Linked DNA regions of Arabidopsis thaliana. The protein of the gene in region 2 interacts with the protein of the main gene of each other region in a biochemical or structural test. Each region holds a gene or a part of one and is shown on either strand. Other genes may lie near its edges.

The links.
Region 1: the proteins of PP2A (region 2) and AT4G08960 form a complex in vitro, tested with the Arabidopsis thaliana proteins (one study listed by BioGRID).

What each region holds. Positions count from the first base shown.
Region 1 is NC_003075.7:5,743,373-5,750,784, reverse strand, and holds AT4G08960 (phosphotyrosyl phosphatase activator (PTPA) family protein), read right to left. Parts: upstream 4,515-7,412; 5' UTR 4,460-4,514; coding exon 3,291-4,459; intron 2,801-3,290; coding exon 2,791-2,800; 3' UTR 2,276-2,790; downstream 1-2,275.
Region 2 is NC_003070.9:26,346,970-26,354,057, reverse strand, and holds PP2A (serine/threonine protein phosphatase 2A), read left to right. Parts: upstream 1-3,360; 5' UTR 3,361-3,546; coding exon 3,547-3,802; intron 3,803-4,230; coding exon 4,231-4,345; intron 4,346-4,431; coding exon 4,432-4,540; intron 4,541-4,637; coding exon 4,638-4,715; intron 4,716-4,800; coding exon 4,801-5,166; 3' UTR 5,167-5,337; downstream 5,338-7,088. Other genes in the region: CLE26 (CLAVATA3/ESR-RELATED 26), read left to right, coding at 1-158. UniProt on the Arabidopsis thaliana protein: Associates with the serine/threonine-protein phosphatase PP2A regulatory subunits A and B' to positively regulates beta-oxidation of fatty acids and protoauxins in peroxisomes by dephosphorylating peroxisomal beta-oxidation-related proteins.

The DNA.
Region 1 (7,412 bases), on a different chromosome or scaffold from region 2:
AGTGGGTCAGTTTGTATTTCATAATACTTTTTGTCGTTTGATGCATATTTTCCACAAAGATCTGATTCTGTACGATTTTGCTGCCAAAACAAAACATATTAGCAATGGTAAAAGTATTTTTGGAAGAAAAATTGTAGAGATGTATTATTACTTACTCAGCTCGTATACCTTTTGATATATCATCTTCTTATAGATGGGTCAAAGTTAGTGACGACCAATGTCTTAGAAGGCTCACCAAGGTTTTTTTATTGAAGTAGAGGTAAACATGGATCGAGAAAAATTAGAGAAAAAAATAAATTATCATTATATCTTAACTTTTTCAAATCAAATCTCCAGCTAGTGTTAGATCACAGGAATTGGTTGAACATTCTTCAGTTCATCTTCTTCATTATATTATAACTTATTCATATTAAATATACGAGTAGTAGATTCACGTACTTAAATCGACTGAATAATACTCAAATCGCTTTCTTCTTCTTGCTTATCTTTTTTCTAGCTTCTTTTTATTGGTTTAATATTAAAGAGAGTAAAAACGATTAATAAGAAGAGAAAAAAACAAGAAAAAGGTAAAAAAATAATTAGTCCTTTTTACAGATGACAAAGACAAATGGTTAATATCCGAGAGTAATTTATAAATGAGAAATTTGATAATTCAATATTTTTGCCCCAAAATATACTCATTGATTAATTTAAAATAGAAAATAGATTAGATAAAGTTTACAAAATCAATCTTTTATGAACAAGTAAAGAACCCTAAAATATCAAACTAATATGAACAAAAGTAATAAAAAAAAAAAATAGTAATCTACTTGTAGGATCTAATTCATTCCCTACAAAGAGACGTTGAAATGAATTAAAACATGTCTTCTTTAACTACAAGGTACAATTTACTTGGGCTTATTTTATTTTACAACTCCAAATTTGGTTTTGTTAGTTTTGAAGATGAAAGATGCATATTGGATCCCTGTAAATATATAACACAAAACAACAAATTCATGGCATTCACATTAACAAAATTTGGTTGTCACTTGTTCAAATCATGCCAAAATTATTCCTTTCATGAGGCATGTATAGATTTTTTATGGCTCAGATTAATGTCCTACCATTCACAAGAAGTATGCAAAATAGGTACAAGTAAAGAGCCAACAACATTGTTTACATAAATTGATGTAGATATCGAATTCAGTCGGTATTATTCTCTCTTGACATAAATAAAAATATTCTTCCAAAGTTCTTCTCTTATAGTCAAGAACCCAACAAGTAGCAGAAAGTGGAGATCATAATTTTTCGAAGATGATGCTTCACAGAGAAAAATATAATGATATGCGTGGTTAAACTCTTTTTTTTTTTATCATGGTTTTTATTTTACTGGGTTTTTGCATGAAAATATTTTTATCGACAAAACAAATAACACGCTAAAGATAGACATCTAAGGAGAATGTCTATGATGAAGATAGATCCCAATTAAAATTATGTTTTGTCATACATTTATTGAGATGAATCATCTACAAAAGTTATGAAGAAAACTAGACTTTTATGTTCGAAAGAAAGAATGATTCACGATGATCATATATCTATGAAGAGAACAAGACTCAGTTTAGTTGAAGGGGAGATTGCATCATCGAATGTTACGATTTCTATGAACAAAAGATTAAATTCATCTTTACCAGATAAGTATTTTGATAATTTGCATTCTCCTCATGAGCGACAAAGTCACCCTCATGTTGTTTTCCTCATCTTAAAACATACTATATTCATTTCAAATATACACATTTGTTTCATTATGTGCTTCTTCATTCTAGCTTCTATTTAAATTAGCATCATTTTGTGTTCCTAAAGTACTGACACTATATATGACAAAAAAAAAAAAAAAAAGTACTGACATTATCTCATCAATACTCTTTTTGCTTCATATAAATTTCAGCAATTCTAATTCAAGTTCCATTCATACACATATTCTCAAAATTGATACTACCATCACAAAAAAAAAATTAGATTTTTAAAAATCTTCATAGGACAACTTGTATCAGATCTTCTTACCATAAAAAGAGAGATTGACTCGCATGAAACTACTATATACAGCTGGTTGTGTACATTCAAGTCTATTTTTCTCGCAACCAATATAATGAAATAGAGAATGTTCAGAGAATGACTAATTTTGATATGGTTTGGCAAAGTGGATACAAAATAACGATTAAAACAGCAACAACACCTAACTCGCAGTGATCATTTTCAGCCAAAGTGATCAACTTCACAATTATATTTTTACTCTGTCGTAGCCGTTTGTCGCATCGATATGCATAGAACCAGGCATCAATAAGTTAGATACCCAGTAACTACATGAACTTGCCATAAAACTAGGAAAGAGAATCACTAGTAGTCTAGTACACATAAGGAGATAACTTGGGTATTTTCTATTTTCCTGATATTGAGAGACGCAAGCAAGAATGTTTTAGCTTCATTGTTCGGTTGTAACCGAGGCGCAAGAAGATTCACTCTAGAGGGAAATTATGGTCTTTAAGGATTTTTGAATAAAACATTCCTTTCCCCTTTATCTGGTTCTTTACTCTATTAGATACCTAAGGCAGAAGCGAATCATCAAAAAAGACAATCTGAAGTTGTAAAACGCAGAGAATACAAGAAGAAGATGGCATGATAAAAAAAAAACCCAAAGATAAACCATGCCTATCAGATACATGCAAAAGCAAAAGCGTCTCTACTTTATGTTAAGCAACCTCAAGGAAGAGAAAATCGCTGTCCCTGCTTCCATGTATGGCACACTGAAGTAAATCACTCTTCCCTGCCAACACCATTTTTTACGCAATTAGATTCCACGATAATGTTTTAAAACATTTGGCGCAAAATAAACGAACGATTCAGCTGTGTAGAACTCAACAAGAGATTTAGCTATAGAGGCCAATGAGAAGCTGTCAATATTCATGTCTAATGAAAAATGGGATGCAAATTTGGGTAGACAATGGCGCAAACAATATTGTGCAGCTGTTACACATCAGTTTTCAGCAAATTATTCTCCATAAGTATCCAACTAATGATCACAAATGTGAAACCGCATACTAGAAAATCCGGTATCATCTATTCTAAAGTTGGTATGCCATCAATGAATTCACAATATCATCACAGGTTAAGATCACCAACATGAAATATCATTCTAGATATTAATCTCAAGATAGATAATCCAATCGACAAACCATTACACAACCAAAGGTTTCTATTTTAAAGCAATAGAGATCAGCTAAAAACGAGACAAAAGGAAAAAAGAAGAATCATACCATTTGATGAGCCAGCCAAAGAGGAAATGCTGCATAATCGGAACTTTCTCAAGCACTTCAACTCTATACATCTTAAGCAAACCGCTATTCACTTTCTTCCAGTTCGGTACACCACTTATATCATCCAACAACGGCGAATGCTCAGCGAACAAACCTTTCTTAACCTTCTTCACAAATGCAATACAAGACAAGTACATGTATTCACTAGAGAAATTCTCCAAAATATCATCGTTATGAATCGATTTCGGTTTCATATACTTATGATCAATCAACTGAGAACTCCCAAATATGAAAGGCAAGAAATGGTAATCATCAAGTCCCCAAACTCCATGAGATCCAGCTGGTTCTAAACAATAAACCATTTGCAATTTCCTCATCAACTCCAAATACTTAACAAAAACCCTAGCAACCAAACTATGATAATCCTCTTCTTTCACTATCCCCATCCTAGCTAAACAATACAACCACGCCGCGAAATTTGTTTCGTGTCCCGTTCCGTAATCAATCCTACTTGAGTTCCCAAAGCTATCGAAGAAGTAAGGAACAATCTCAATCACAGATTCTTTAAATTCCTCAGGAAGAAACTCAAGTATAAGCGATTCACCTCTCTCACGGAGCCGTTCATGCCATGACCTAAACGAAACGTTACCGTATCGAGCTGATTGTTGAGCAGGAGGAATCTCATCGATCCATTGTAACAATGTTTCAAGGATTGAAACTATGGCGGCGACGGTTGGTGAGATATGACAAGGATCTGAGATCTTAAATCCACGGATCGATTCTGAGAGAGATACTACGAATCCTAAGAAGTTCTTACAAGAAGCGGATTCGTGAAATCGGCGGATATCGTCGGGAGAGTGGATTCGTTTGACGGGAGATTGGAAATGATAGGGCGGAGATACGACGGGGACTTGTTCGGCGTGAGGAACGGGAGAGAGGATTATTGCTTGAGAGTTGTGTGGGAGATTGATTGCTGGAGCTCGGATCGGACGATAGTTTGGTGGTGGTGACATCTCTGGGAATGAAGCTAGTGGTGGTGGTGCTTCTGAAATCGTTGGTCCGCCGCAGTTTGTGCAGCATCCGGAAGGAGGAAAGGCGGAGGATATGGTGGCTGGAGCATCGGAGATTGATTTCTCCGGCGTGTTTTGTTGTTCCTTTGGAGGTTCCATTTTCTCAGTGATTTACAGAGACGTAACGAACGATAGTGAGAGCAAATGAGAAATAAAGGGTTAATAAAAAAAAGTTCCAAAGGAATAATTATGGATCACTGATAATAAGCCCAAAGATGGTTTTGTGACCCAATAATAAGCCCAAAGATGGTTTTGTAACCCAATAATAAGCCCAAAGAATGTAAATAGTGAGTTCTTCATGGACTAATTCAAGTTTTATTGTATGTGGTGTTGCTGCGTGGGCTACGATGCTTTTCTACATACCCTTAACAAGATTACGGCAATATTGTGTTATATTTTGTGGATTCTTTCGAAGCTGACATGATCTATTGAAACTCTGAATAACCCTGCGCCCGTTCTCGGACATACTTTGGCCATATACACAACCTAGTTCGAAGTTTCTAGTGGTGTATAAGTTCAAGGTAGTGATGCCTCAAAGTCAAAGTAACCGTATAGCTCGTGACATAACGAAGTGTGTGACAAGAGATAGTCGTTTTCAATCTTATTTGCCGTTAAGGGGACAAGTCTTGCCTTCACAAACCTATTGAAAATGAATGATGTTAAGTGGCAGATCCACTAAGGAGAAAGGGGTGCCATTTGACCCGGATTAAATATACATATAAAATTTAATGCATAAAAATGTTGGGAATATTCTAAATGTTGTAATGTCGAAGTTTGACATTTGTTTAATATTAGGTGGTTATAATGTTTTGTTAGACAACGCTTAGATCATCTTTATTGGTGAGATACCCACATGATATCTCAATTATATTAGACTATATTTTTTGAATGTTTTATTTAGAAAAACTCATACTTCAATTTTACCTCCATTAGTGAGCCCCAATGATTATCTCATCCACATAAAATTAATATTTTAATATTATTTTAATAAAATTTATATTTAATTTTAAACATATCTAATTAAATTAGACATTTTGTAAAACATTATGATTAAAATTACACATCATTTTATCAAATAGATTTTAGTTACATTAGACATTTTGTAGATAATGACAAAAAGAAATAACACATTAATACATTATTTATCGAAGTATCAAAATGTTGACAAGATATCAAATTATTTATCCCAGATTTTTGCTAATATAGTATTTTATTAACTAAAAATATTAATTTGTATTTATATTAACCTTTACTAATATCAACTAAAATAATATTAATATATAGTTTTAACTTTGGTATAATGGAGATTGATATATATATATATAATATATATATTATCAACCAAAATCAATTAAACTCAAAAGAACTAATCCCGAGGGATATTTTTTACATATGTGAAATGATGTAGTTTGGTACAAAATTTTATGCACGAAAAATGAAATTTGATATACAGATAAATTTAAATAAAAAATAAAAAAGAATAACTTATAAACTATTTAATTGGTATTATAAATCATGGAGTAAATGATTTTTATTCGGTAATTATTGCTTCATCGCCATAAATTCTCCCATGGTCTGAGACACAGAAAATTTTTCAATAATGACCCATTGTCCAGCGATGTTATCCTTTTGATGTTAACTACATGACGTCATATACTTCGTTAGGGATGTCAAAATGGGTAACCCAACTCAACTCAACTCATAATCAAATGAGTTTAAAGTTAAATGATTAATGGGTTAAATGGGTTAAATGGGTAAGGTCAACCCATAACTCATTTCATTTGATGGGTTGAGTTGTTAAATGGGTCCATTTAAGTAACAATTTAATTAATAATTATTATAAAATAATAATAAATAATTATTAATAATTATTAATTCATTATCATCAAACTTAGGATATTTACGGATTCCACTTGTTACGGGTTTACGTTTTTGGCGAAAAAATCAATGGTTTACGTTTTTGGCGGGAAAATTACGGGTTTACTTTATTTGCGAAAAAATTACAGATTTACGTTTTTAGCAAGAAAATCACGGGTTTACGTTTTTTTGGGGGGAAATTACGGGTTTACGTTTTTGGCGGAAAATCACGGGTTTACATTTTTTTGCCAGGAAAATTACGGGTTTACGTTTTTGGCGGGAAAATTACAGGTTTACGTTTTTGGCGGGAAAATTACGGGTTTATGTTTTGGTGGGAAAATCACGGGTTTACGTTTTTTTGGCGGAAAATTACGGGTTTACGTTTTTGGCGGAAAAAACATGGGTTTACGTTTTTTGCGGGAAAATTACGGGTTTACGTTTTTTGCGGGAAAATCACGGGTTTATGTTTTTTTTGGCGGAAAAATTACGGGTTTACATTTTTGGTGGGAAAATCACGGGTTTTCGTTTTTGGAGAGAAAATTACGGTTTTGTGTTTTTTGGTGGAAAAATTACGAGTTTACTTCTTCTCAATTTCATCGCTTGTATATTTAAGAAATTTGGAAAAATATTGATTTTATTAAATTGGTTTAGATGTGTTGGTTCAACTTAAATGGACATTGATTTAGAGATTTTAGTTGGTTTAATTCAATTTTACAAAACTTAATGGTTAATTGGGTAAACCATTGAAACCATTAACCATTACAACCCAATTTATTTTATTCATCAAACCAATTGACCCAATAACTAATTTGACCCATCAACTCATTTGAGTCAATATTTTCAACTCATTACGTTCATGGGTTGAGTTGAGTTGAGTTGACCCATGAATTTTGACCCATTTTGACACCCCTATACTTCGTATATGTGGTCATGCAATCCATATACGTGAGGTAGCTAAATATCTTTTAGTTTACTTGACATGTGTGACCATGTATTCTACTATACTTCAGATAGTTGACAATCTACTAGCGTTTTAATATTTGTAAATATAATACGCTATAATATGAAAACTTACACGTGTATCTCCCAAAACCATGTCTACTCGTTTCACCGGAGTATTGTGTATACTGTTTCCAATAGTGAACAATTTTTTACTTAAATTCTCTAGGTGTCTTGAAAGGTTTATTGTGGTTAA
Region 2 (7,088 bases):
GGAACGACGATCTTAGCTACGTAGCAAGCAAAAGAAAAGTGCCTCGTGGACCTGATCCTATACACAACAGGTTCTTACTACTTTCTCGTTTTATTTTATCACTTTTAACTAATCCTTACCCCTACCTGCATATATGTGTCTTGGATGTTTCTGTATGATATTTCATTAATATATAATAATATATGACATAAACCCGTGTGTGGTGCCACATTCATATTAGTTAGGTCTAAGTTCAAGGGCTATAAGCCTAAAATTCTCTACAACCCCATATTAGATTCCGTTATGTTCAAATTATACGCGTGGACCACTTGGTCACTTGCATTTCGACCATGGTGTTGTTTAACATGTGGTTTTTACCAAGGACATGCTCTTAGTATGGTCTAGATATAAATTCGATATTGAGATTAATGAATGACATCTAGAAATGACTATATTAGATGAAATCAAGCAAGCTAACTCGTTGATTGTCTATATGTTTATGCATGTTATAATAAGTTTTGTTTCGGGTCACCATAAATATACTTCTAGCACAATTTTACTAAAAAAACAAACACTTTGTTTCTTTTAACTAACTCAGATTCGGTGAGACATATCACAGAAGCTCGCAAAAGGCTGTCTGCTAGCTTTATTCAGTCTTTACGTTTAACAATCTATTTTTAATTATTCACTATAAGATGGCTTCTTTTAAAAACTTTCTTTTTTCCTTTATGGAAGCTTTAGCCCTTTGAACACTCCCTTTTTTTTCTTAGTTATATAGGTAACCCACTTATGATCACAGTTAATTCCATGTAGATCGTATTAAAGTAGTCTATTGACTAAATCACTAAAATATCAATTAATGAATTAATGTTGTATGATTTGTTATCGTTTATACGAAAGTAAAGAAAAACAAGAAAACATGACTTGGATTAAGTAACTCTATGTTCTGTCTTAATACAGGAGAGCAGGGAATTCAAGACGACCACCAGGAAGAGCATAAGTACGGTTAAAGCTTGGGTAAGAAGCAGAAAGAGAGAGAGAAGTATAATTGTTGGCAAATTAATATAGGTCTTGTATTGCTGCTAGATTCTCTTTTCCTTTCATTTGGGATCGAATCTTTTAAATATGCGCAAAATATTTGTGACCCTACAATTCTGTTTTTTTTTTTTTTAAATGTTTGTTTTGTTCCTATAGTGAAGAAATATTGAGCTAGTTAGGGGAGGTTTTAAAAAAATGAAGACACTGATTATTAAAAGGATTTCAAGAAAGAAAAGAAGTATACGTACATGCAATGCAATCCTGTTTTCTCACGCATTGCACGACTTATATTGGGATTATTTCTAATTTGATCCATCATCAAATAACGTTTAGATGCTTTATTTCCTTACTCACATTGTTTATTGGGTACTTGCACTAAATGATCATTAACATTTATTAAGTTAGGTAAATAATTGTGTACTCCTTTTATGTGCAAAAACACAAAATGGGTACTATTTTATTACTAACATGCTTTCTTATCAAATAGCAGTACCCTATGTTGTTCTAAATAACATGCTAATTCAATTCAGATTTGGCAGACAAAATAACATGGTATTTTAGAGAGAGCGCGCACAAGTGTGTTTTTTTAAAACAAATGAAAACATCATAATTACGTACCTGATTGACCCTTGTGTATATATTCACGATTAGAAATTGTAGATTACCAAAACACTCGCACAAAATGGTTCTATATATAGACAATATATGATTCTTATCACATGTTTTGAATGAAAAAAAAAGAATTAAGATGGATTTTTTTTTTGTAAAGAACAATTGTACTTTGAAAGAGTCTTATCCAATCATTAAAAAAAATGTCGAATCCATTATTTATTGATGTATTCTGAAAGCATATATTCTTCCAAAGGGGCAAATAAAAGAGATGTCGACAAAGATTGGATACATAAGATATTAATAATTTATAAATGCAATGGCATATATATATGATATAATTTGAGCTCTAAATGCCGAAATTTGAAAAGGAGAATGTGTGTAATGGTTCTTACAAATAAAGGAGACCACAATGCTTCTTTGTGTTATGCTTTTTTCCCATCTTTTATTCTTTTGTTCTTTTGTGGGGTTAACTCTACCACTACTCATTTTCTCGCTCTTTTTTCACTTATTTTCCATATATTTCTAATTTCTAAATTAATTTTACTAATCTTGAAATACAAAAAACTATTAGACTTAGCTTACTAATTTACTACACCACCAACATACACACTACGCAACATATGCTAATATGTATTAAAATGAAAAGAACAAAAAATGAGAACCGGTATTACAATTTATCGTAGTGTATGACTAGTTATGAGATGAGAAGGTTCTTGAAAAAAGAATTACTAACCAAATAATGTAGATTAATTATTTGCAAATAAAGAAAAGCAAGAATATATAGCAAAATCATGAGTTTACGGTTCGGCTCTATAAAATCTTCTACAACCATCCACGATAAACTTGATACATGAAATGTCTTCTTCCATTAAAACATGAGTTCCACATATAAAATGGTTTACAAGTAACTCTCGAACATATGTGCATGGTAAAGCAAATATATAATACCATTATTTTTTCTGTCTTAATTAAGCAAAATTAAACATATATATAATATATGATCCCTACATGTTCACTTTTAAAGTTCACAATTTCAAGAGTTTGAATATCTTTAATTTGAATTATTACCAAACGCATTAGACAGACTAAACAGAGACATAATAATCAATCAACTTCTTTTTGTCTTTTTTTTTTTTTTTTTTTTGGGCTTCCAGTCTTCATAATCAAAAGTAACTGAAGACCAGTCTTAAAGCTGGAACATTTGAACTAAACATATACGACTGCTCCTATCGCTCTAGAAATTTTAATTAACAATTATTCATAGTTACTTAATTACAAAGACAACAATAAAGGTGAACGAATAAATTAAAGGAAAATTATGAAAATAGTTTAATTTGTATGAAACTTTTCATCCGCATACCAAATGTCATATACTCTTATCTTACATTTTTCTCTTGGGACATATTTTTGGAGCGAACACTTTCGCATGTACGATAAGGTTCAGTGGTCTGAGCTTCGACTACGTTAAAATGATGATTAGGGTTTACTAATTTGGAATTAGGAGTTACATTTAAGGTTAAAAGTTTATGAGTTTCAAGTTTCAACGAAGCTTTAAAGTTTAAACGATGGTTAAAGTTTTATGATTATGGTGGGCTATGTTATAGTTCTTTCAATTTCGTTGGGCCAAATGGGCTAAACGATTAACGACCCTATGAATGGGCCTGAAAAAATGAAAGCCACGTGTCAGACCCCCACAATGGACTTTGACTCGGTGCGGCTGCCGGAGAGAATAATTAATTATCAACTCCGATGAAAAGAAAACAAATACAAAGTTCCAACAAAAATCGAAATTCACAATTTCTCTTCTTCTAAATCCATGGAGTGATGATGATGATAGATAGATTGAATCCAAACACAAACCGGATCCGAGATTAAAAACAATCCGGATTGTTTATATTTACTTTAGATCGGAGAAAGATGCCGCCGGCGACCGGAGATATCGATCGTCAGATCGAGCAGCTTATGGAGTGTAAAGCGTTATCTGAAACGGAGGTGAAGATGTTGTGTGAGCACGCAAAGACGATTCTTGTGGAAGAGTATAATGTTCAACCGGTTAAATGTCCGGTTACCGTCTGCGGTGATATCCACGGCCAATTTTACGATCTAATCGAGCTTTTTCGTATCGGTGGTTCTTCTCCTGATACTAATTATCTTTTCATGGGTGATTATGTTGGTGAGAGTCTCTCTTTACCTTATAGCTTTTTTTAGGGTTTCTACATTTCTCACATCTCTTGATTTGGATTTGGGTATTTTCCCTAATTTGGATTTGATTTTGTTGACCTTTTGGGGCTAATGTAGACTTATTTGGAAGTGTTTACTAGAAATGGATAGATTATTGTTTATCTATCGAAAAGTTTTGGTTTTGGAAGATTTTGTCATTGAAAAGACGAAACTTTTGTTTTAGCTGTTAACTATTCTCAGGGCTTCTACAATGGAGTAGCTTGACCTTGGGAGATATAACATTTTAATGTAGTTTGTGAAGCTTCATGTTCGAGTACTCGGATTTGTGTTTCTCTTTTCTCTGTTTAAGTGCCTTAAGCTCCGTTTCCTACTTAAGTTGCTCAATTAGCTAACTAATGGATCATTGTTAAACTTGTGAAGATCGAGGGTATTATTCTGTGGAGACAGTCTCACTTTTGGTAGCACTGAAAGTTCGTTACAGAGATAGACTTACTATCCTAAGAGGGAATCATGAAAGCCGTCAAATTACTCAAGTGTAAGTTGTTTTCTCTACTAAGTTTTGTATTATAAGCTTCTCAGCCTCTCTCAAAATGTTTCTTGCTGATTGCTTACCTTTTTCAGGTATGGGTTTTATGATGAATGTTTGAGGAAATATGGAAATGCTAATGTATGGAAGCACTTCACTGATCTTTTTGATTATCTTCCACTTACAGCTCTTATTGAGAGTCAGGTATTTAAAAAACTAATGAGCGTTTTCACTACCTTAGACAATCTCTTCTCTGTTTCTGCTGTTTTGGACTTGACTACAGAACTCTTTTTTTCTGTAGGTTTTCTGTTTACATGGAGGACTTTCACCTTCTTTAGATACACTTGACAACATCCGATCTTTAGATCGAATTCAAGAGGTTAGTTCCAGAATCCAAACCAACAAAAGGATGCACCTTACTTGATGTTTACATAACGAGACTAAGATGTTTGTGTTGCCTCTAGGTTCCACATGAAGGACCAATGTGTGATCTCTTATGGTCTGATCCAGATGACCGATGCGGTTGGGGAATATCTCCTCGTGGTGCAGGCTACACTTTCGGACAAGATATCGCTACTCAGTTTAACCACACCAATGGACTCTCTCTGATTTCAAGAGCACATCAACTTGTCATGGAAGGTTTTAATTGGTGCCAAGAAAAGAACGTTGTGACTGTATTTAGTGCCCCAAACTATTGCTACCGTTGTGGCAACATGGCTGCGATTCTAGAGATCGGTGAGAACATGGACCAGAATTTCCTTCAGTTTGATCCAGCTCCACGTCAAGTCGAACCCGAAACCACTCGCAAGACTCCAGATTATTTTTTGTAAGTACCAAAAGAACTAAAGCTGCAATTCCACACACTAGCTCTTCGTCTCTTTTGCTTCTATTCTTAACCACTTTTTGTAATTTCATATTCCTTACGTCTATTTCTGTTTGTTAAACTCTCCATTGTCTTTTAAAATCCGTAATTTTTTGTGTGCAAAGATTCTGGTCCAAGTAACTGAAACCGCTATCACCAAATTCTATTGAAGCCAACTTTGTACAGAGAAATGATGATCATGTTACACAGCAAAAGCCCTAGCTAGGTAGATATAAATATGAATGTTGTGGAGAGGTACAGACAATAAACAAACAAGCTGGAGCTGAGATCTAATCTATAGAAAAACAACACTCAGATCAAAATAAGATGAATCGAGAGTTTCAAGAGCTTTCTAGTTCGCTTTGGATCCAATCTTGTGCACACATCAAGGCTTGCACGGTACTCGGTCTAAGCGAACGCCATGTTTCACTAACCCGTCTCCTTTGACAAGTTTCAAAGGCGTCTTCTTCTGATGATACATTCAACATTGGAACTGCTAACACGTTACGTGCCATCATGGAGAGAATTGGGTACTTAGGTGTGTGAACTTTCCACCAGTTCAGGATGTCGAAATCTGAATTCCGGGGAAAAAGTGGCTCTTCTAGATACTTTTCTAGATCTGATTTAGAGTCTTGACCCGGTGTAGTAGTTGTTTCGTTAATGTACCTATCGAATTCTGTGAGTCTATCGTCAGGCTCTTTCCCATGGGCAACACCGTTTGACCGATGATGATGATTCTGCCAGTCAAGAGCTTGATTTGACGACGCTAATAGCGATCCTACAGAATGCTCATCGTACAGCAGTTTGATGCACTCAGAAATATCTTCAATGAGCTCTGAAGCACTAGTACCATAAAACAGAGGGTAATAGTATTCAACCAGCTTCATTTTGAACCGCGGGTCTAATATGGTAGCGATGGCTAGAACCAGGTAGTTTTTATCCCAGAAATCGTCAAATTTCTTTCTCATGTTTACAACTAGAGAGCTAATGAAATCATCCGGGTTCTTGCTCCACTCAATTAACCGGAGGTGTATGTCGCATACCTCTGGGAAGTACATATTGGCGGGTAAACAACTGCTCTTTGTGAATGCATTTATCACTTCAACAAAGACTTTCAAGAACTCAACAATTGTTCCTAATCTCTCCCATTCCAAATCAGATGGACATAACACGGAATCAGGATCATGTTCATTCATGAGCGAAAACGCGCTCTTTTGCTCTAAAGCATTCTCCAGCATGGTGCATGTTGAGTCCCATCTCATTGGGTCATCGATGCATAGGTTCCTTTCACTTACAGCTCCCGTTTCAACTATCCACTGGTTGAATCTATCTTGAATAGATTCTGAGCTTTTAACATATCTAATACTCTCTCGAATAATGTTTATTGTGTCACAACAAGCTTCCAGGGAATCTTGAACCATCTCGTTAATGACATTAACTCCACAGCTCACATCAAACAATTGGCCGTAACAGTAAAGGAACTTATTCTGCGATAACCGGTCTCTGATTTTACTAGCTACGTTCTCACTAAACGGAGGAGCATGACTCGACGCCATAGAAAACAACTTCCGGTCAATATCCCACTCCATCAAACACGTCATTATAACTTCAGCAAGCATCTCACCACTATGAGATGGATCAACCATAAAGAAGTTCAAAACTCTCTTTTTCAATTCCCATCCTTCATCAATATAATGCGCTGCCAAACACAAGAATTCATCAGAATCACCCGAACCACTCCACACATCAACACTAATACTAATCTTCCCAGGTAACTTATCCAACGCTTCGAAAATCTTATGCTTCTCTTTCGCATAAATCTCCATACAATCAGATTCAACTCTTTCAAAAGCAACAAGCTCAAACAAAGGCTGTAAATTTCCAATAAAC